3 linked regions of the Tamandua tetradactyla genome follow. The main gene of each other region encodes a partner of the protein of the gene in region 3 in a complex. Links are inferred from orthologs where the notes say so. Each region holds a gene or a part of one and is shown on either strand. Other genes may lie near its edges.

Region 1 (7,678 bases), on a different chromosome or scaffold from region 3:
CATTTTTGTTATTTGTGTCTGAATTCATGTTTTCTTTCTGACAAGCGATAGGAGCATGTAATAACTCCCAGCAGCACACTGTTGAGATGAAGACAGTATTACATGACTAAAGCTTGAGAATTAAGTTACAGGACTGGGAGCTACAGAGGTTGGCTCATGGCTCTCCCACAGCAATGGAAAAGGAAAGTTTCTGAAACTCAGCTATTTCCTCTCTAGAATAGGGTTGTTGACTTACAAGATGCATCCCTTGCCCATAAAAGAAGGATATAAAAATTACATGTCCAGAATACCTATGCTATGCACTAAGGGTCAAAGAGCCAAAACTTAAAAGCAGCAAAACACACCAACACGGACATCACTGCAGAGACGGCTGTTTCACCTCCTAGTTTTATGAACTAGCCACAGGCCACCTGGGTCATAGTGGTAGAATCTCACTCCCCTAACATTTTAGTTTTAAACGTATGACAGATTAGGGCGGTGTAATGGTGACTCAGTGGCAGACTTCTTGCCTGCCATGCCAAAGACCTGGGTTTGATTCCTGGAGCCTGCCCATGTCCAAAAAAAAAGTATGATAGAGTCACTACCAGCTGTGTATGCTAACTTACTCCTTGCCCATTACAGGATTCTGTATTGTCAAGGCTACCATGAGTAAGGCAATCAGAATCTAAGACTCCATATAGATTTCAGAAAATGCTTTGTCCCTCAAAGCCACTTTAAAGTTGTTGTCAATACACATATGGTAAAAAGATTGTTTTTGCAAAAAAGTTTCTCTGAAAAACCCAAATGGCCAAATAAATGTCAATGACCTGGCTTTGTTACTGCATTAGTTCTGGAAGATGTTACCACCTGAGGTATGTGGGCTTGTCTCCACTATTGTTCCAATTTCCTGTGAGAGAATTATTTCAAAACAAGTAAAAAGTTAAAACAGGAATTGTTATAAAAATTAAAAGGAGAACAGATCATAGGAGAAAAATGTTTCAGCTCAATTTTTTTTATTGTATGCTGTATGGCTGGGTTACATTTCATTACTTTTCAATGTGAGTACCTCATCACTGCAGCACCATTTATTGAATTTTTGTTTGGTAGGTTTTTTTGTTTGTTTGTTTGGGAAGTACACAGAGCGGGAATCAAACCCAGGTCTCCTGCATGGCAGGCAAAGAGAATTCTACCACTGAATTACTCTTGCACCACCCCCAGCTCAATTTTAAAAAGAGGAGCCTGAATGGTCATAGGTGACTTTGGGAATCACCTAACAACTAATGTGGTACCTCAGCAGGGGTGGAGCTGTGAGGGCAAATAAAAAAGGTTTATCATTACTAGCTCTGGCAGTGGAAAACATTACATGTTCACATCCTCTGCTTTCCTTAACTCCTAGACTAAGAAAGCTGTGTTAGCTTCAACTAACAAGGAACAAGGTGTGAGGAAGAGTCTCCCCGATTTGTAAAAACCCAGTGAGAGAACACTGCACATAATTTATTTCAGTCACTCTGCATTTGAGGCCCCCTCACACCAACTGCACAATCCCAGGCAAACAGTCTGCCAGGGCTGCGGACCCAGTCTGGAGCCAGGCCTCACTGAGCCTCATCTTGGGACCTCCGGCTGCAGCAGCGAGTCGGTCTGGCTGAGGACGAGCCTGTCTTTCTTCTTCTTCTGCAAAACCTGCTCCTCCCACAGCGCCTGGTCCACCTGGTCCTCCGTGAGCACGACAGGTTTGTACTTCTCGTCAAAGAGCCTCTCGTTGGTCTCGGAGCGCAGCTGGCGGGGCTCGACCACGCGCAAATGCGCCGGCAGATGCAGGAACTCCTCATCGTTGATGTCGCAGTCATGCATCCGGGCCTCCAGCACCCACCAGCGGCCCATGAAGCCCACATCCAGGATTCGGCTAGGAAAGTCGACCCAGCGGGGCTGGAGGTAACGGCAGCGGGCCTGGTAGAGGCTGGTCTGGGCGTCGAAGGGCGCCTCGTACACGAGCGAGCCCAGCACCAGGTTCAGGTGACGCAGGCGACCGTGGCCCCGCAGCCACAACAGCCGCTGCACGTACGCTTCGGACTCGCGGTTGCGCGTGGCCGGCGCCAGCAGCAGGAGGGTCCCGGACGCGTCGAGCAGCGCCTCCTCGAAGGCCGCCTCGCTCGGCGCCAGTGAGCAGCAGGCCGCCGCCCCGCCCAGCAGCCCCAAGTACACGGCCGCCCGCCCTGGCCGAGCCCGCGCCGCCGCCGCCGCGTCCCGGCAAGCCTCGGCGTAGTCCTGGAGCAGCGTGCGGGCCCAGATGCCTGAGGGGAGAGGAACGCGGTAAGAACGGCCCGGCCGCTGCGGCCTCCCCTCGGTGTCTCCCGCCGCCACTCACCCAGTCGCGTCCACACGCTCGGCTTCCCGGCCGCCCCGTCGCCCACCTTTTGGCCGCCTCGGGACCAAAGCCTCTTCAAAGCGGCCGCCGCCATTCTCTTCCTGCTCGGCGTCCGTTCTCCGAAGAGAAACGTCCGTAAGCGAAATAAAAGGCCCGGGCAGCTCTTCTGTGCAAGGCGCCTACAGCGCCGGAAGTGGCTTCCCATCGGAAGAGGAGTGAAGACGGACCGGCGCCGGATGTTGCTGAGAGAGCAGGGGCGGGGTTGGCGTCCTACCTGGCATGTAGGCGAGCCGCGCAGGCGCAGAGAGGCCGGACCGCGCGGGCCGAGGTACCCTCAGGTGAGGGGGGCGGGGTGTACCTGTCGGCCCGGGCGGCGAGTTCAATTCCCGGTGGGTGCCGTTAGCGGCCAGACTGGGCTGGGGACTGAGGGGTAGGGTCCGGGAGGGGACACAGGTGGGAGGCGAGCCTGATCGGTCTCTGTTCTCAGAGCGGGATGCGGTGACGTCCTGGACTGCCATGGCAGCGGCCGACGAGCTGGCCTTCCACGGTGAGTGCGGCCCCGACCCGGCCCGAGCTCCTCCTCCCGCCCGGGGCCAGAACTTCCCTTGTGGGTTTCGGACTCATACCCAACCCAAACCCCAGTCGGCTGTGAACCCTAATCCCAGCCCTGACCTAACTCGAACCCTGTCCGGCCCCGAACTCGGACCTCAAACTAGAGTCTCTCTCCCGGATCATTGGCCCCATCCCAGAAGCAAACCAGGCCCTACACTGCAGTCCCATGTCTGCAACTCAGGCCCTTCTTGCATTGGGGGAGGGCGCTGAGGAGGTGCCGATTGGAGCACAGTGCCAAGTTGAATTGCCCTGGACCCCAAAACATGCCTGTGTTCCATATTCTGGAACTCTCCACAGAGTTCGAGGAAGCCACTGATCTGCTGGCGGAGACCCCAGACGCAACCACTGTCAGCAGGAGCGATCAGCTCACCCCGCCGGGGCACGTGGCAGTGGCCGTAGGCTCAGGTGGCAGCTATGGAGCTGAGGAGGAAATGGAGGAGAGTGACAAGACCGCGGTGAGTCATCCAAGTCCTTCATGTCCTGCCCTCAAGCCGTGCCTGCTGACCCAGGCGGTAAGGGCAGGCGCTGAAAGGCCGTGTTGTGCAGCTTCTGCAGGAGGAGAAGCAACAGCCGGGATTCTGGACCTTTAGCTACTATCAGAGCTTCTTTGATGTGGACACCTCACAGGTTAGATGTGGAAAGCTGGAGGGAGGGGGTTTGGAGTCAGGCTTGGGGTTCAGTTGGTACTCATTGAGGACTTCCCATACACCAGGCCTGAGGCAGGGTGCTGACGACACTGACATGGATGAACAGGGACTGGTAGAGGGTGACTGGCATTCATGGTTGGGTGGGTCAAAGGAAGGCTCCCTGGAGGTGAGGAACTGGCTGAGACTTAAAGAAGAAAAATTTACTGGGGGAGAGTGGAGGGAATCCAGGCACAGGGAGCAGCTTATGCAGAGGGGCAGGGGTGAGTGAATGCATGGACAGTTGCAGAAGCTGCAAGCCACTGAATCTTCTTGGAGAGTATGAAGTAGGAGGCGGTGCTGCAAGATGAAGTGGGACAGGCAGGCAGAAGTCAGATCACAGAGGACCTTGTGAGCTAGGGTAAGGTGTCCAGGTTTTATCGTGAGAGTGAGGAGGCATTTGGAAGGGTTTAGAGGAAAAGTGGGATGAGTAGGCATGCCACAGAATATGGATTGGAGGCTAGGGAGGGGGTGATGACAAAGCAGGGCTGCAGAGGAGGGGACCTATTGGAGGGAGATGTGGGAAGGAAAACGCCTAGGACTCGCTGACTGACCTGACTGGGTAGGAGGGGAGGCAGTGAGAGCAGTTCAGAGCAGCCAAACCAAGAGGAGGGGAAGCAAACGGGAAGATGGCAGGCCCGGAAGAGGCGGGAGCTGGCCAGGGGAAGGGGCTCCAGACCACGAAACAGTCTTTGTAGAAGCCCAGAAGGCAGAGGTGACCTCTTTCAGGTTGGGTGTGGAGAGAGGAGATTGGGGGTTTGTAAGGGGGCAGGATGGCCCCTTCCTTCTGAGGGTGGTGGGGAGCCACTGGTAGGCTTCCCCATCTGGGCTGGCCTTGTTCCCCGCAGGTGCTGGACCGGATCCGAGGCTCGCTGCTGCCCCGGCCTGGCCACAACTTTGTACGGCACCATCTGCGGAATCGGCCGGACCTGTATGGTGAGTGAGGTTGTGCCTTCTTCAGTTCATGGAATTATTCACTCAACAAGTGAGGACTGAGCCCCAGGCCCTGGGGGTACAGCTGAGCACAAAGCAGTCGTTCACAGAGTATGAAACTTAGATCTCCTGTTTAGGGAGACGGAGACATAAAAGACTGCAGGGGTGATGGAAAGTAGCGGGTGCCAGGTGGCAGGAGGAGAAGCCAAGCAGCTGAGAGGGTACAGAGCATCGTTACTTTGCCTGGGTAGTCAGGGGGGAGGCCTCTTGGAGGAGGCAGTGGGGGGATCCAGAGAAGAGCATTCCAGGAAGAGTGAACAGCGCTGGGCCGGGGACCCTGATGGCACCCTGCCCTGCCCCTAGGTCCCTTCTGGATCTGCGCCACCCTGGCCTTCGTCCTGGCCATCACTGGCAACCTGACATTGGTGCTGGCCCAGAGGAGGGATCCCTCTATCCACTACAGCCCCCAGTTCCACAAGGGTAAGGCAGGCAGGCTGGCCCAGCAGGTGGGGGCCAGGGGAGGCCTGGGGCTAATTAGCTGTGGTGGCCCTCCCCACAGTGACCGTGGCTGGCACTGCCATCTACTGTTATGCTTGGCTGGTGCCACTGGCACTATGGGGCTTCCTACGGTGGCGCGCGGGCACCCGGGAGCGCATGGGGCCTTACAGCTTCCTGGAGACAGTGTGTGTCTACGGCTACTCTCTCTTCGTCTTCATCCCCACTGTGGTGAGTGGGGCCCGGGCAGGGGGTGTGGTGGACGCCTTGGGGGCCCCGACACAGTGGTCACCAGCAGCCTGTGCCACCTCAGGTCCTCTGGCTCATCCCGGTGCCGTGGCTGCAGTGGCTCCTGGGGGCGCTGGCCCTGGCCCTTTCGGCCACGGGCCTGGTGCTGACCCTGTGGCCCGTGGTCCGTGAGGACACCAGGCTGGCAGCTGTGGCACTGCTGGCCACCGTGGTGCTGCTCCATGCTCTCCTGGCCCTGGGCTGTAAGGTAGGGTGCAGGGGCGTGGCCGGGTCCCAGGCTGGGTGGGGCGTTCACGGCCCCAGTGCTGACCCCAGGGACGTCGTGCAGTTGTACTTCTTCCAGCCGTTGCCTTTGGAGCATGTGGTCCCTGCACCCCAAGCCACTTTTCTGCCCCCCACCACGCTGCTGCCGCCCTCCCTGTCACGGTCTACCGCAGTCTCCTAGGATACCCTGGACCTATGGGTAAGCTCCTTGCTCGGCTGGGGCTGGGGCTAGGGCACCTACTGTCCAGGCCACCCAGCCTAGGAGTTATGGGGCCTTTCTTGGTGTCTGTTCTCTTTCAGGGAAATTGTGTAAGAGACGCCTCTGGCCCCCACCCCCAGACGATGATGAAGCCTCCCTTGGCACCTCGAGACCACTCTGCTACTTGCCAGACTTTTCTTACAAAGCAAACACTTTTATTTTCTATGCAAAGGTGATTTGGAGAGTTTATATAAAGGTGGGGGGGGCATCCGAGCAGGGCGCGTCCGGTGTGGTGGCAGGCAGCAGCCAAGGGAGCAGTGCCCACGCCTACAGACTGCCCACTGCCCCCGCTGGCCCTGACGCCACTGCAGGCAGTTGGGGACCTACCTTAGGCACCCCAGGCTCCCTTTCCTCCAGGTGGTCAGCAGGCCTCGGGGCCTATCCTGAGCTCCACCACGTCTGAGTTTGGGATGTTAGAAAAAGGGGAGCAGAAGGAGAAGAAAACTGCCTGTGCTGAAACATTTCCTTGTTGGTTTATTTTGTGTTTTGTTTGGTTTTATGGAGGGAACAGTCCCTGTGAGGCCCCTCCCCAGTCTAGAAGGGGGCGTCCACAAGAACAACGGAAACACAGGCCTAGGGTTAGCTGCGGGCCCAGGTTGCCCTCCACCACACCCCTCCCGAGATACAAGCGGCTGAGGCCGGGGCCTGCAGGACACCTGTCCTAGCTCTTGTGGGGGTGGAGAGGGTGAGGTTGATCTACAGGGGCTCAGGGACAGGACAGCAGCAGGAGGCAGGGGCCAAGGACGGAGGGCCTTCCCGACAGCCGGGCTGGGTCGTACATTCAAGTGTGAGGTGAACCCTTTGGTGGGGAGGGGGCTGCAGGTGCCCCAGAGGCCTGGCCTCCACCCCAAAGCTTAGGCAGGGCCGCCTGCCCCTCACTGCTGAGCTCTGAGTTGGGGAGAGGGGCTGCTGGCTCGGCCCGGCCGGCGGGTTTCTCAAAAGGTCTGTGGATTGACACTGGTTCTTTCCGTAAAAAAATAAAATTAAAAAAAGCAGCATGCCACGCCCACTGTGACCAAGGCCTGGTAGTCGAAGGGAGGCCCTGCCCAGCCAGACAGGGAGGGGACCTGGGGGGCAGCGCCCCCTCCTCAGCCCACACTTCCGGGTACAGGGTACAGCTGTCAGGCCGACATGCCTGTTCCGGACGATGTCAAACCCAGGTCAGGGTGGAGCAGGCAGGAGGGGGCCGAGAGCTCCCGCGACATGATCTTGTGTAAAATATGGCAGCGACACGCGCTCAGGGGTGGGGCAGTGGGGGAGTGGGGTGGGGGCAGCGGCAACATTGTGTAAAAAAGTGTCCAAGTTCCCATAGCAAAGAGGGCTGTGCCTGGAGCCCAGGCTCCCCCCGACAGGGTGAAGCCACCTCGGAGAGGGGTGGGCGGGTCTTCATTTGGTTTCCTGGTGCCACGAGGCCGCCTAGCTCCCATAGTGCACGCTGCTGCTGGGGATGGACATGGGCGAGGCCATGGAGATGGCGGGGCCACCCATGGTGAACTGGCTGTTGACCGCGTAGTGCGTGCTCGAGCCGCCACTGCCGCTGCCCTGGGCACCTGAGGACCCTGTGGGGTGGGGGTCAACGCTCAGGGGCCAGCTCTGCCCCCTCGCCCGCCGGACCCGCAGCAGAGTCAGAGGAGAGAAAGCAGGCGAGAGGGCGGGTGGACGACACTCACGCTGTCACCCCCCCACCACGGGAGCCCGCGCCCCCTCCCTGTTACCTTGGACAATCCCCGTGCTCATTATGGAGCCCATCCGGGAGTGGGTGTGATTGACAATCCCTGTGTTGGCTGCGCAGCAAGAGGGAGGAAGGAAGGGAGATGGCGTCACCGCCCCCACCTGCCC
Region 2 (7,683 bases), on a different chromosome or scaffold from region 3:
ACCCTTCCCTGGCTTTGGGCCTAGGCAGGCTCAATCACGTCACATACTTCCTGATATTGCCCTTTAGAACCAAGAGGCTGATTTCTTAAATCTCACCTACTTTTTATCTTTGCCTCTAAATCATTCCTTTATATCATTTGTGAAAATGCCTACCTGCCTGTTCCCACGGAATTTCAGGTTGTTTTTTTAATATAGCTAACACTTATTGAACACTTCCTATGCCCGTCATTATTCCAAATGCTTTACACATATTAACTCATTTAACCCTCAAAAAGCCGAATGAGGTAGACAACATTATCCCCATTTCAGGAGGAAGCTCAAGTCCAGAGGAGTGACATGCTCAGGGTACAAACCTAAGCTGTCATACTAGTCTGTACTCTTAATACTTTGTTAAACTCCCTCTGCCGGCAGATGCTATGTCTGCTTTCTTTCCTCCAGAGTGCCAAGCACACTGCTTTGCACATAGTAAGTGTCAAACTTATTTTAATATATATAGATATATATACACACATACACACAATTTTAATTCCAGTGTGACAGATACCCCTTCTTCAACCAGGAAAGAGCTTTACCACACTCCAGGCTCCTGGAGACCATCCAGAGAGAGCCAAGGCCTGGCACAGTCTTCACAGATGGCACCCAATGGGGGGCACTTTTATTAGGAAGTGGGAAGGGGCAGGATGCAGCCCAGGGTGTGTATGTCTGGAGCCTCACACGGGCCCAGAGCTCTGCTGCACCCTCTTCATCAGCTCTTCATCCTGCATAGATAACTCTGTCAACTTTTTGCCCATCCGCTCATGGATGTCCAGGTACTTGGAGACACACCGGTCCAGGCATACAGATTCGCCCTTGGACAGTTCTGCTTCCTTGTAATGGGGAGGCACACACTTCCGGTGGCAGGCACTGGTCATTCTGCAGGGAAAGACAGACAAGTTCAGGTCAGTAGCATTCTGTGGCATCCCAGGGACCCTCGACTGTTCCTGCTAGCTATAAAGATTTCACTGCTTCCAAGAAGGCAGTGTAAATTGTATCTGCACCCCAACCAGCTTGGAAGGCCCTTGTGAGTAAGAATTCTGTCTGAGTCCTTATAGATGACTAATGAAATAGAAACCATTAATTAAGTACTGGCTATGTGCCAGGCATCAGGATTAATTCTTTAAATGGATCCTCTTATGCAGGTCTTACAACAAGCCTATGAGATAGGCATTATCTTTTCCCATTTCACAGATGAGGAAATTAAGGCACAAAGAGGCTCAGTAATTTGCTGAGGATGACATAAAGCTGGGCAGTCTGACTTCACAGCCCACATTTTAAAACCATTCTGACATATAGCCTCCAAGATGAACCAAGCATTCGGGGGAATGGATAGCAGAGAGCTACAGCTGATAAAAACAGCAAACAATTTATTGACTTCTTCCTCTGTGCTGGGCTTGATGCTAAAAGGTTATCAAACATTTTTACATTTAATATTTACCATGTCTCTACGAGGTAGATACTATTATTATCTACATCTTATCGCTGAAGACACGATCATCAAAGAGCCCAAGAAATTATCCAAGGCTATACTATTAGATTAGTGGAATCAGGGTTTGTTTCCATATTTACAAAGTGGTTATGAGCCCTAACTCTGGAGTCAGACTGAGGTATTAGTCCTACTAGTGACCAGCCTGTGGAAGTTAATTAACCTCTAGATGCCTCAAATTCTTTATCTTATAAAATTAACCCACTGGATTATTTTGAATATTAAAAAAGATAATGGGTGTAAAATGCTCAGCAAATGTCTGACATGGAGTAAGAGTTTAAGAAAGGCTAACCACTAAATGGCCATCTGCTATGCATCAAGAGGCAAACACTCAACTGTTCTTGGAACCCGCTCAGAACCTGGAATGGAGCTTCTCTCACGGCTCGACTCCTTCCTCTTCAATTTCATCCCAACCTAAAAGTCTGATTTGTTCTGGTGACGCCATAGTGAGTCTCCATTAGTAGTTCAACATGGGAGGAGTCGGGATGGGTAAGCACCGGCCTCTGGCTTCCCTTGATTTCCCTCGATCGAGGAAAGCATTTTTTAGAAGTCCTCCGCCCCTGCCCTGGGAAAGACTGACCAAGGCTCATCCCCCAAGACTTAGGGTGGTGCCGGGCCGGCTGCTGTTACCTGTTGTACATATCAGCCATCATCTCCACCTCCAGCTCCGCCGCCAGCTGCTGGGCCCTGAGTGGATCCATCTCAATCCGGGCACCGTGGAGGGGATCTCCTTCTGGCCTCCCTGTCCTGGGGGCAGACGTCACCTTCAGCACCCACCCTCCGTTCGTTCTCCTAACTCAGGAGCTACAAATCCGTCACCCCTGGAGGAGCCCACTGAGCTCAGTGAGCCCAATCACCTCATTCACAGGTGTGGAAACTGAGGCCCGAAGGGGAATACTGCCTAATCCAAGGTCACACAGCACACGAACGGCGGGGCCGTAAAACGAGCCCTAGCGCCCTGACGCCCAATCCCTCGGGGTCACCTCTATCCAGGAGAAGACCGAGAGCCCGGGGTGGAACATCACCCTAAGCCGAGGAACCGAACCTCAGGGGCCCTGGTTACTTGATCCCAAGTGGGACCGAAGCGCTCGGGCCCCCACACAAGGGCGGCCACTCAGAAATGGCTGCACCGTGATCAGGCCCACCTCGGGGTCAGGAGTCACAGGTCACTCACCTGGGCCTGGGATCGGTCAATATGCCCCCCGTGTCCCCAACTTCGGGTGAACGCTGGAAACTCACCAGGTTGCCGGGTCAGGCAAAACGGAAGCACGTGGATCGCTTCCGGGAGGGGAGTCCCACCTCCTCTTTGATCCGGACTAGCTTCCGGAATTGAGTACCAACGAGGCGGAGCCTGGAGGTCCGCTACCATAGAGAGGGAGCGGCGGGCCCCCGCCGAAGGCGAAGGCGCCTTGAAAGTGCTAGAGGGGACACCAAAAGACCATAGAGAGCTGGGCCGGGTGCAGAGCGCCCGCAGCCGGGTTGGAATTCAGGTGGGCTGTCGGGAAGAGATTTGAGTTTATTTGGTTCTCTAGGGAGGGACGAGGACGACGGAGCTCGGCCATCCTTGCCCCTACCGGGGAGAGCAGGCTCTTGACTGCAAGTCAGGCGTGGAGAAGGAAACACGGCCTTGGAGGGCGCGTTTAGGATTTTGCTGCACATTAAAATCACCTGGGGCGCTTTTAAAACTCCCTGTGCCCAGGTCGTGCCTCACACCCATTAAAACAATCTCTGGGAGCAAGATCCAGGCAGAGATACGCGAGGCATGGCTCCTTCTCGCCGAAGGCAGGTAAAGTGCACGTTTTATTTAGATCCCTCTGGGCCGTGGAGAGATGAGTAGGAGCAGTTTCGGCTGCTACCAGAGTTCATTGGTGCATTGGGATGAGGGAGAGGAGACTGGTGAACTCTTCATCTTTCCAGACTTACCGTAATCCTAGATCTACACACACACGCACACACACCTCCAAACACACCTTGGCCCTTGATTTTTCACATAATTTCCCAGAGAGTTAAATCCACAAAATGTAACTTAATGTCACAAGGTTACACGGCCCATGGGAGAATGTGGACTGTGTGAACAAACGTAAACTCAGCTCTTTGTCTTTAGCCTACGAGGTGCTGGACATTTTTGTAAAAATATTTTTTATTGAGAAGTCTTCACATACAGTCCATACATGGTGTATGACTAACGGGTCACAATATCATCACATAGATCACATAGTTGTGGATTCATCACCACAATCGTTTTCAGAACATTTGTGTCACCCCAGGAAACAAACAAAAACTCATACAGACCTTACCCCTTACCCCTGCCTCTCGTTGACAGCTAGTATTTCCATCCACCCGATTTATTTTAACTTTTGTCCCCCTAATGTTTATTTATTTTTTATCCATATATTTTTTACTCAACCGTCCATACTCTGGACAAAAGGAGCATCAGACACAAGGTTTCCACAACCACACAGTCCCATTGTAAAAGCTGTATCATTATATAATCATCTTCAAAAATCAAGGCTACTGGAACACAACTCGGCAGTTTCGGGTACTTCCTTCCATATGTGCTGGACATTTTATATGTATGGTCAACATAAACTTCCCCAGCTACCCACGACAGTCCTGATTTTAAAAAGTCTGTCTCATTACAGCTCTAAAGATTCAACCTTGTCAAACTCTGTGCCCTGATTCGTTTTCTTTCTTATTGAGGTATAACATTCGTACAGTAAAGTGTGTAAAATAGACTAATCTTAAGCTTGCTTAATTTTAAAATATGTATGCATCCATATAACCACCACCTGGATCAAGATATAAAATACTGGGTGGCGCGATGGTGGCTCAGCGGCAGAATTCTCACTTGCCATGCGGGAGACCCGGGTTCAGTTCCCCAGTGCCTGCCCATGTAAAAAAAATAAATAAAAGAGTAAGATATAAAATACTTCCAGCACCCCAAAAATGTTCTTTCCTGCTCCTTCCCAATCTATATATCCTTTCTCACGGTTAACCACTAGTCTATCACCATCAATTACTTTCAGTGTTCTCGGATTTCATATAAATGGCATCACACATTATTTCCTCTTTGTACCTGACTTCCTTAGTTCCCTGGCTTTGTCATGGTGCTAGAGTTATGTAAGGTTTAACCATTGGGGGAAGCTGGTTGAAGGGTGTACAGGATCTCTCTGTATTAGCCTTGCTACTACCTATGAACTTATAATTATCACAAAATAAAAAGCTAAAAAATTACAAAAAAAAAAGAGAATATAAAGACGTAGTCCATTGTAGATGCTCCATAAAAGGAAAGCATTGTTGTTACTGATGGCAATGGTTTTATTGCTATTATCACTATTTACTATGAAATCATATCTTTCCTTTCCTATACTTATACAGTTGATGATTTGGGGACCTGCAAGTAGGACTCTCCACTTGTCCCTGTGAAATTTCTTCTTGTAAAAGACAGCTTGTATTCTGGAGGTTATTCTTATGCATTATATAGATATCCCTTTTCAGTTTATGTTGTATTGGAGTGGCTGGGGGGAAGTACCTGAAACTGGAGAGCTGTGTTCCAGTAGCCCTGATTCTTGAAGTTGATTTTATAATGATATGGCTTTTACAGTGTGACTGTGTGATTGTGAAAAACCTTGTGTCTGATGCTCATTGTGTCTAGGGTATGGACAGATGAGTAAAAAATATGGATAAAAAGTAAGCAAATAATGGGGGGACAAAGGTTAAAATGAATTGGGTAGATGGAAATACTAGTGGTCACTGAGAAGGAGTGGTAAGGGGTGTGGAGTGTATGAGTTTTTCCTTTTTTCTTTTTTATTTCTTTCTCTGGAGTGATACAAATGTTCAAAAAATTATCGTGGTGATGAATACACAACTATGTGATGATACTGTGAGCTACTGACTGTACACCATGTAATAAATATGTGTTTGTTAAGAATGTTTGTATGTTAAGTTTTATCAATAGAAATTTAAAAAATAAAAATATAGCTTATAGCCCTAGCCTGAAAAGATCTCTTTGGATCCCAGCTATATCATCTAAAACTGCTGACCTCTGTCAGCACCATGGGGAAGTTCTGGCTCAGCCCTAGGTTCTACCCCTTCCCACCCTCACAGAGGGGAGTTGTCTATTTGTCACTCACCAGGAGTCAGTATTTTCCTCTTGGATGGGGAACTGTATTCCCAGAGTAAAGGATGTAGGCTTATCACCCATGGTGTCCATCTGAACCACTCACAAGAGATGTACAGAATACAATGTCAGCCTTGGTGTCCTCCCCCCGAGATGAGCAGGCAGAGAGGGGATAAGAATGGAATGGCCTGGATGGAGTCCAAGATCGTAGCTTAGTGAGGTGTGGAATTTAGTCCGTCCTCCAGAGCAGCTAGTAAATAGCCAGGAACAGGACAGAACAACTGCTGGGGCTGCATCAGTGGCCGAACACACAGCATACACCAGTCTGGACAAGCTGGACCAGCTGCGATCCCGCCCAGAACCGTAAGGTCCCCAAGCTGCATAGGCCAGCGCCCCTAACCCACAGGCTACTTTCCAGAGGGCAAAGGAAAGAGACTTTACTAACAGCAGGGTCTGAGCTCAAGCAAGCTCCCACTGTGGAATTAATTAACAAATTCTGACTACTAAAAATAGGCCCCCAGGGGCAGTGTGATGGTGGCTCAGTGACAGAAGTCTCACCTGCCATGCCAGAGACCTGAGTTCATTTCCCAGTGCCTGCCCATGCAAAAAGCGGAACAAAAAAATAGGCCCCCAGCTCAGCTAAACTTCAAATAAAAGCTAAGGTTACTAGTTTTTCCCCTGGCACTGATGGAGAGCTGATGAAAAAAAAAAAAGAGGTTTTTGGATCAGACATCACAAAATACTTGAAAAGGTCTGGACCCTAAAAAAAAAAAAAAAGAGGGGACACGTAGGACCTGGAGATACATAGAGCAATGTACAAACTTAAGCTCTTGATTAACAAACCTGAGGAACAGGGGTCCTGCTCTGAAAAGGATTTTTTTTTTTTTTTTTACAACTGTAAGTCTTCTAGGCTCCAACTGCCCTCGGCAAGGACAGAATTGAGCTTGTCTGAGAGACAAAGAGGCTGGTCAGGAAAAAGGAGGTAATTCCCTGGAGCCTGTGCCTTCCCCAGGAGAGGAGTAGGGTCCAGCTCATGTGGAATCCCTCCCTCAAGGAATTCAGACTGCAGGGACTAGAAAACTGAAGTAATTAAAGCCATCCTACAACCTCTCGTCTGTCTTATCCCAGCAGAGAGAGTCTGCTGAAGTTAAAGGCACCACATCACTTTATGCTGGTGAGACCCACAGGTAGACAAGCACCACATACTAGGCAGGATAGGAAAAATGCAGAGTCCAGAGGCTTCATAGGAAAACCTTGCAACCTGCTGGGTCTTACCCACAGGGAAAACTGATGCAGGTGACTCTTTCCTCTGGAGAGGAGGCCAGTCTGGGAAATCTGACTGGAGTCTATAATACCTGAGTAGACCCTCCTAAGGAAAAAAAAAAAAGGCACCATATGGGCAGGGCAAGGAACAAGAAAACTGAGAAATTCTGATTCATTAAACAAAACCTATGCTAGAGGTCTAGAATAAGCTAAACTGAATGTCAAAGAACAGATAGAAAACAAAGCCATCCAGCAAGAAAATGCTAGGTAAAAGAGTGAAAACAATCTCTAGAATAAATTAATTAAGGAAATTAAATGCCTAGTGCCAGCAAAAAAATAATGAATCATACTAGGAAAATTGAAGATGTGGCCCAGTCAAAGGAACAAATCAACAATTTAAATGAGATATAGGAGCTGAAACAATTAATTCAGGATGTTCAAAGAGACATGGAAAATCTCATCAAAAATCAAATCAACAAATTGAGGGAGGATCTAAAGAAGGTGAGGGATGAACAAAAAGGAGAAATCGAAAGTCTGACAAAACAAATCACAGATCTTATGGGAATGAAAGGCGCAGTAAAAGAGATAAAAAAAAAATGGAAACCAACAATGTTAGATTTCAAGAGGCAGAAGATAAGATTAGTGAACTGGAGGATGGGACATCTGAAATCCAACAAGCAAAAGAAAATATAGGGAAAAGAATGGAAAAATATGAGCGGGGACTCAGGGAATTGTATGACAACACAAAATGTATGAATATAAGTGTTGTGGGTGTCCC
Region 3 (5,813 bases):
TTGTGGAAGAGCAGCAGCTGCTTGTGCATCACCTTGATCTGGAGGTCCAGCGGGGTCAGCTAAGGCTAGACTCAGTGCCCTCCTTGAGGGTCTATGAGCCTCAGTTTAGGCCCAGACCAGGGACATGTGGACTCTGCTCTGATGGGACTGAACTCCACCAAGGGAATCAAAGGAAAAACCTGACTTGATTTGCTAGGCATGAGTTTCTGGCATCCCCACCCAAGGGGTGATTTTTCTGTTATACTCCAAATCCGCCAACAGGAAAGGGCCAGGAATTGGAAGGATGGTAATTGAAAAGACCCAGGCAGTGAGGGGGCTGGGCAGAATATCCCATTTCTTAGCAGGCTGGAATAGCTGGGCTATTAAAACTTAGCAGGGCTTCCTGATTCAATGATGGAGAGAGGAACTAGGGAGAACGTAAGTGCCATAGATGGGAAGGTACACTGGGGTCAAAGGGGTGGGGTTGGCACCTTGTTTTCTTCCAGGAACTTGAGCTTGATGGCAACATCTCCCCGCAGCTTCTCGTACTTGTCCCGATGGGCCTGGAAAGTGGCCTGGGCGCTCTCGAGTCTGCCCCGTGTCCCTGCATCCCGGGGGCCTAGGCTCAGCTCCTCTAAGTCTGTTCGGTAGGCGTCATATTCCAGCCTGAGGAGGGGGTGATATAGGCTAGTCTCCACCCTTTTGTCCTCCACATATACTCTCTTTTTCTTCCTGGATTCTTATGACCCTAATGCCCAAACTTCCACCCATGCCAGCCAATTCCCAAAACCTTAGGCCCTGCCAGCGCTCACACCTGGCAGCCTCATACTGTTTGACAGTCATGAGTGTATCTTCCATGGTCTTAGTGACCAACGTGTTGATGCTAGAGACAAAGAAGTTCACAGCCCCTAGCAGCGTCTCCCCATTCTTGCACAGCAGCTTCTGCGTCTCCGCATTGTAGCCAAATTCCTCCTAAAGGCAGAAGGGAAGGACAGGACTTGAGTTACTGTCCCTGCCTGACTAAAGTTGTAGGGCCCTTCACTCCCCTCCTCCCCAAGGAGGACATAGCCATTAAATTACACTGAAACACCAAAAGACTGCCTCCAGCGAGGCTATCTCAGCCACAAAGGTAGTGGTCCACCCTGGGGATGCCTGGGGTAGGGACATGGGAAGTAGGGGTTCTCATAAATTCACAAGACTGGAACAGGGAAAGCTAGTGCAGCAGGCAGGGAAAGGACTCCGATTAGGCCGAGCACCACAGGCATTCTTGCCAATACAGAGATGGGTTACTTGTGAGTCACCTAGTACTCCCCCTACCCCCAACCCCTCCAACTCTGGACTTCTGTACACACCCTTAGGCTGCCTCCACAGGTGAGTGTTGCTGGGGGCAGGGCTGGGCCCACCCTGGAGGGGTTCTGCCTGTGGGCTGTAGGAGGGAGGGAGGGAGGCTGAGGGGTGACTGCCTGGGAGGGCCCGAGCCCAGGTCCCCCACCCTCTTTGGCCTGGCTGAGGCACCTGAAGCTCTGGGGACTTCTGGCTGAGGTCAGCAAAGGCGTCCCCCAGTGCATGCTGGGTCTGCAGCAGGCTGTAGAGATGGGCTGTCAATGCCCGGCCCAACTGCAGGACACTCTCATACTTGCGCTTCGTCTCACGCAGCAACTCAATCTGCAGCTCTAGTTCCAGGTCCACAGTCCGGGAGCCTCGCCCAAATCGCTCTGATAACAGCTGCTTTGTACACTGATTGGGAAGTGGAAGAATAAGTCAGAGACCCTAGAACCCTCACCACCTACTCAGGTACCCACCCCTGCATCCCCAGATGCCAGATCTCAGTCATAGATGGGATATTAGGGTCTCGGGAGAAGGGAAAACATTACCCAAGGGAATTATGAGTATATGGAGAGGTGCTCAAATCCCACCTTGTATGTGTTGATGCCCCATTTCTTGACGATGTCAAACTTCTCTCCAGCGATGCCCCGAGCCACCTCATCTCCAGTGCCAGAGGGAGTGGCACTGTGAGAAGGATGGCGTCCGGATCCTAAAGGACCAAATTCTCTGACATTAGCCTCTTTCAGATACAACCAGATACCTCTGTGGCCCCACTCATACTTCCCTCCCAGGACATGAAAATGACTTCCCTGAAGCAGCAGGGACTAAAGACACAGATTTGCCTGTTCACTAGGGAGAACTCATACCTTATGCCCTGAGACCCAAATCCCATATACATGTTCTGCCTGGGAGGGCCCGAGGCAGGAGATGTATATTCTTCCCATACTTGTACAGCAGCTTCTGTGTCTCTGCAGTGTAGCCAAATTCCTCCTGAAGAAAGAAGTGAGGGACACCTCCTTCTGAGGTGTGTGTGTGTGTGGGGGGGGGGGGGGCACTGTTGCTACAGTACAGTCTCTCCCAGAAACAGAAGAAAATGTACCAAGTATATTGGAGGGAGGGCGGAGGAGGAGAAGGGCAGGTTAAGATTGGTTGATCCTAATAATAGGAAACCTGGTGACTTTCCCATGTGGCATTCTAGTCTGTGTGGAACTTGGGACTGTTTGTTTCTCTAAATTTTAGAGTCTTAAATAGACCTTTAAGAAACTTCAGAAAATTCAAAATCAGTCTCAAGCTACAGAACAGTAGAACTTCTGAGAACTAGAAGTCTTAACCTGGTTCAAGTAGTAATAGTAAGGAAAGAATAAATGGGTGTATCTCAGGGGCTAAATGGCAAATGGGAGCATATGGACAACACTGGGAGCTGCTCTTGGACTGAAGAGGGTCCATGGAGTTCATACTAACGGAACCTCCCCCCAGACCTCCATGTATAAACCAAACTTCTCTAGACATATCTGACACTCCCCAGAACAATTCCTATCCTCCCTCTTCACTCAACCTTCCTGTTTCTGATCATACCTGTAGGGATGAGTCCATCACCAGAGCCCCCATAACCACCAGACACAATGCTGGTTTCATTGAGGTTGGGTCCTGACACCATCACCTGCTGGAGGTCCTAAAGGCCAGAGAAGAGAGGGGCTTCAGGAACACAGGGCAGCTGAAGCACTTTGACGGTAGGAACAAGGTTGGATTGAAACATCAAAGAGAGAGCACTCAAGGGAAGTCTGCACAGAACCAGAATGAAGATATGTGAAAAGATTAAGGGGAGTTAGCTACATTAAGGGAAAGCTAGTGGAATGAGAGTGACAGCCCAGGATCTGAGTTGGGATTGCTAAATTGAAACAAATAGGAGAAGAATCAAACTGAAGCACCTGCTCCAGCCCATCATCCTCAGGAAGCTGCCCAGCTTCGCCATTCCCGTGGATGGGGATCTCCATGGTGGCTGCCTTCCCCAGGATCCCGTCCGTCATGGCTGGAGAAGCAACTGGAGTCAAAGTCTCCACCCCAGGGCCCTGCAAAACCCGACACAGTTCTGGAAACAGGCCAGCACTCTAGGAGAAGAAAGCCTCCCCGGCCATTTTTAAGGTTTTAGAGGTTATCCCCAGGGATTAAATGTGGCCTGGGGCTCAGCCACCACTCCTCTCCTCAGGTGTATGTTTCTCCTCTCCAGCGTGCACATTTTTACACAGGCACATTCAGGCCTCAGGTGTCTTCTCACAACCCCTCAAACGCACCAGGACTCGGTTGCTCAATCATGCATTCAATCATTCAGTAGGCATTTAATGAATGCCTACCATGTGGCAGGTACTACATGAAGCTCTAGGAATGCAGCAGTGAATAAGAGAGATGAAGTCTGTGCCTTCGATGGAGCTTATCTCCATTCATGTGTCTCTCCACCGACCAGGAGATGAACCCTTCTCCAGGGCTCAGGTGTCCGCCCCCATTAGGGTATATTCTCTATTGCTCGGCCATTACCAGTCTTTTAATTTTCTTCCCTCTTACTTCAGGTGGTCTCTCCCTTCTCCATCCCATGCACCTTCTCCTCCTCAGCACCTCCTCACCAGGATTAATCAGTCGATGTATGTTCCCCATCTGTAGTAAAAACCTCCCTTTTCCAGGACACAGATGATGCCTTCCAAAGTCAGTTATGTCTCCCCAGGTGTGTGAGCCCGCCCCACCCCCATACACCTGGGCATCAGGTGTGTCTCCATCCTTCCCCTGGGCTCAGGGGCATCTTGCCGATAGGGCAGCTTCGTGCATTTAACTCCCCCTCGCCCAAGTATGAACCTCTCACCTCGGGCCGGGCCGCTCTTCCCCTCAGGGCGCCAGGCCCGGGCCGCGCGGGGACCTCGGGCTCCAGTTCCCGTCGCGATCCTAGCAGCAGGTCAGGGATTCGGCGGAAGTGACGTCCCTCATGGGCAGAAGAAGCCGGCCACGTCGCAGATTATGAGGGCGGTAGTGACGTTAGCCTCCGGGGGCAGGGCGCTCTTTGAGCCAACCCCTCAGTCCTCTGGGAATCGGAGAAAGATCACTTCCGGGGCGTTATCGAGAAACGGCAATGAAAGTGATGTGGTACGCGCAGGTGGCGTGATGGAGCAGCAACAGCAGCAACTGAGAAACGTGAGTGGGTCGGTGCAGGGCTGTCCCTTCAGCTCACATCCCTACCCCCGAAGGGATAACCCAAAGAGCTAGGGATTCAAAGGCTGGGAGTATCAGGCTGTGATGCCTGTGAAACCTCGGGCGGCGGGGACTGAAGTGACGTGTGGAGCCCCTTATCGCTGTGTTCCTGGCTCCCTTTTCTCCCAGTTGCGAGATTTCCTGTTGGTCTATAATCGGATGACAGAACTCTGCTTCCTACGCTGCGTGCCCAGCCTGCACCACCGAGCTCTGGACGCCGAGGAGGTGGGGAACTGAGTAGGAATTCCTCAATTATCGGTAGACTATCTCCCCTTCCCTGCTTCCCCCACCTCCGGCCCCAGCCTTTCCATGGTCTTTGGCTGTAGGCTGGGGATGACGAAGGAAGGCGATGAGGCCTGGTAGGACCCTTTGGCCTCTACTTCCATCTGTCTTTTTTCCAGGAGGCCTGTCTGCACAGCTGTGCTGGGAAGCTGATCCATTCCAACCACCGCCTCATGGCTGCTTATGTGCAGCTCATGCCTGCCCTGGTACAGCGCCGCATCGCAGACTACGAGGCTACCTCGGCTGTGCCAGGTGTTGCTTCTGAACAACCGGGAGTCTCCCCATCAGGCAGCTAGCTGTCCCCTCCCCAGGAGGGGAGGGACTGGAGGGAACCTCAGATTGAGGAAGCCAGTGGACCTTGGGCTGGGTGAAAGCTCTACAGAGTAGGTGAGGGGAATGCCTGAGAGCTTGGTATCGTTTCTTCTTTCCCTGGAGCCAATAAACTGGCTTTTGACTCCGTTTGATTTCCATTCTGGGCAGGGAAACTTTGCTTGCTTTATTGGCACCATCTTTTGTTCTGCCAGTTAGTGCATATTTGTTAACTTCAGACCTGGCAGCTGAAAAATTACCTTTATATGCAGAAGAATACCTCAACAGTCCCAGATCCCTGGTTAAAGCAGGATTTGTGGGTATAATTTCCAAGTTTGTAAAAGTAATAGAAAGTTGGTTCTTGCTCAGATGACAGAGAAAATGGGAGCTCTGTCTTGCTGTCCTTGAGACTTAAATGGCTCACTCGTGAGCTAAGTCTGTATTAATAACTAATTTTTTCATGGACTGTGTCTTACAAGAAAGGATTCTGCCAGGTCTCAGGAACAGTGGCAGTACCTAAGAGCAACAGATCAAAAAACAAAAGGACTTTTAGCACTACCTCCTGGGAAGTCAGTGGCCAGGAGCAGAAATGATCCTATAGAACTTCATCCATTTTCTGAGGTCATACTTTATTATTATTATTTTCTGTCTTCCCAAGATGAGGAGTAAAACCTTTAAACAAA

What was found. Proteins that work in one complex are often made in the same cells at the same time.
Region 1: TIMM10B (region 3) and TIMM29 share a complex: the UniProt entries of both Homo sapiens proteins name them as parts of the TIM22 complex. The link is inferred for Tamandua tetradactyla from reciprocal best matches to the Homo sapiens genes TIMM10B and TIMM29.
Region 2: the proteins of TIMM10B (region 3) and TIMM10 are in contact, whole or in part, in a cryo-EM structure (PDB 7CGP), measured with the Homo sapiens proteins. The link is inferred for Tamandua tetradactyla from reciprocal best matches to the Homo sapiens genes TIMM10B and TIMM10. Residues at the interface, in NP_036324.1 of Homo sapiens: Gln7, Leu11, Leu14, Arg15, Phe17, Leu18, Leu19, Tyr21, Asn22, Arg23, Met24, Thr25, Glu26, Cys28, Phe29, Val33, Pro34, Ser35, Leu36, His37, His38, Arg39, Leu41, Glu46, Leu49, His50, Ala53, Gly54, Ile57, His61; in NP_036588.1 of Homo sapiens: Ala6, Leu9, Leu13, Glu16, Met17, Asp20, Met21, Arg24, Ala28, Lys32, Cys50, Asp52, Arg53, Cys54, Ser56, Lys57, Tyr58, Asp60, Ile61, His62, Glu63, Arg64, Met65, Gly66, Lys68, Leu69, Leu72, Asp76.

What each region holds. Positions count from the first base shown.
Region 1 is NC_135337.1:90,946,880-90,954,557, forward strand, and holds the start of TIMM29 (mitochondrial import inner membrane translocase subunit Tim29), read right to left. Parts: upstream 3,004-7,678; 5' UTR 2,892-3,003; coding exon of another isoform or gene 2,861-2,891; 5' UTR 2,550-2,860; coding exon 2,345-2,549; exon of another isoform or gene 2,274-2,344; intron 2,271-2,273; coding exon 1,582-2,270; 3' UTR 1-1,581. Other genes in the region: protein YIPF2, read left to right, coding at 2,861-2,891, 3,254-3,411, 3,503-3,583, 4,488-4,575, 4,936-5,052, 5,132-5,298, 5,381-5,563, 5,645-5,761; histone-arginine methyltransferase CARM1, read right to left, coding at 7,256-7,398, 7,555-7,623. UniProt on the Homo sapiens protein: Component of the TIM22 complex, a complex that mediates the import and insertion of multi-pass transmembrane proteins into the mitochondrial inner membrane.
Region 2 is NC_135335.1:20,056,854-20,064,536, reverse strand, and holds TIMM10 (mitochondrial import inner membrane translocase subunit Tim10), read right to left. Parts: upstream 2,874-7,683; 5' UTR 2,762-2,873; exon of another isoform or gene 2,697-2,761; intron 2,270-2,696; 5' UTR 2,224-2,269; coding exon 2,153-2,223; intron 913-2,152; coding exon 711-912; 3' UTR 504-710; downstream 1-503.
Region 3 is NC_135334.1:79,905,999-79,911,811, forward strand, and holds TIMM10B (mitochondrial import inner membrane translocase subunit Tim10 B), read left to right. Parts: upstream 1-4,329; 5' UTR 4,330-4,452; coding exon 4,453-4,482; intron 4,483-4,668; coding exon 4,669-4,764; intron 4,765-4,940; coding exon 4,941-5,117; 3' UTR 5,118-5,291; downstream 5,292-5,813. Other genes in the region: ARFIP2 (arfaptin-2), read right to left, coding at 1-38, 471-645, 794-951, 1,495-1,716, 1,896-2,014, 2,881-2,977, 3,234-3,332. UniProt on the Homo sapiens protein: Component of the TIM22 complex, a complex that mediates the import and insertion of multi-pass transmembrane proteins into the mitochondrial inner membrane.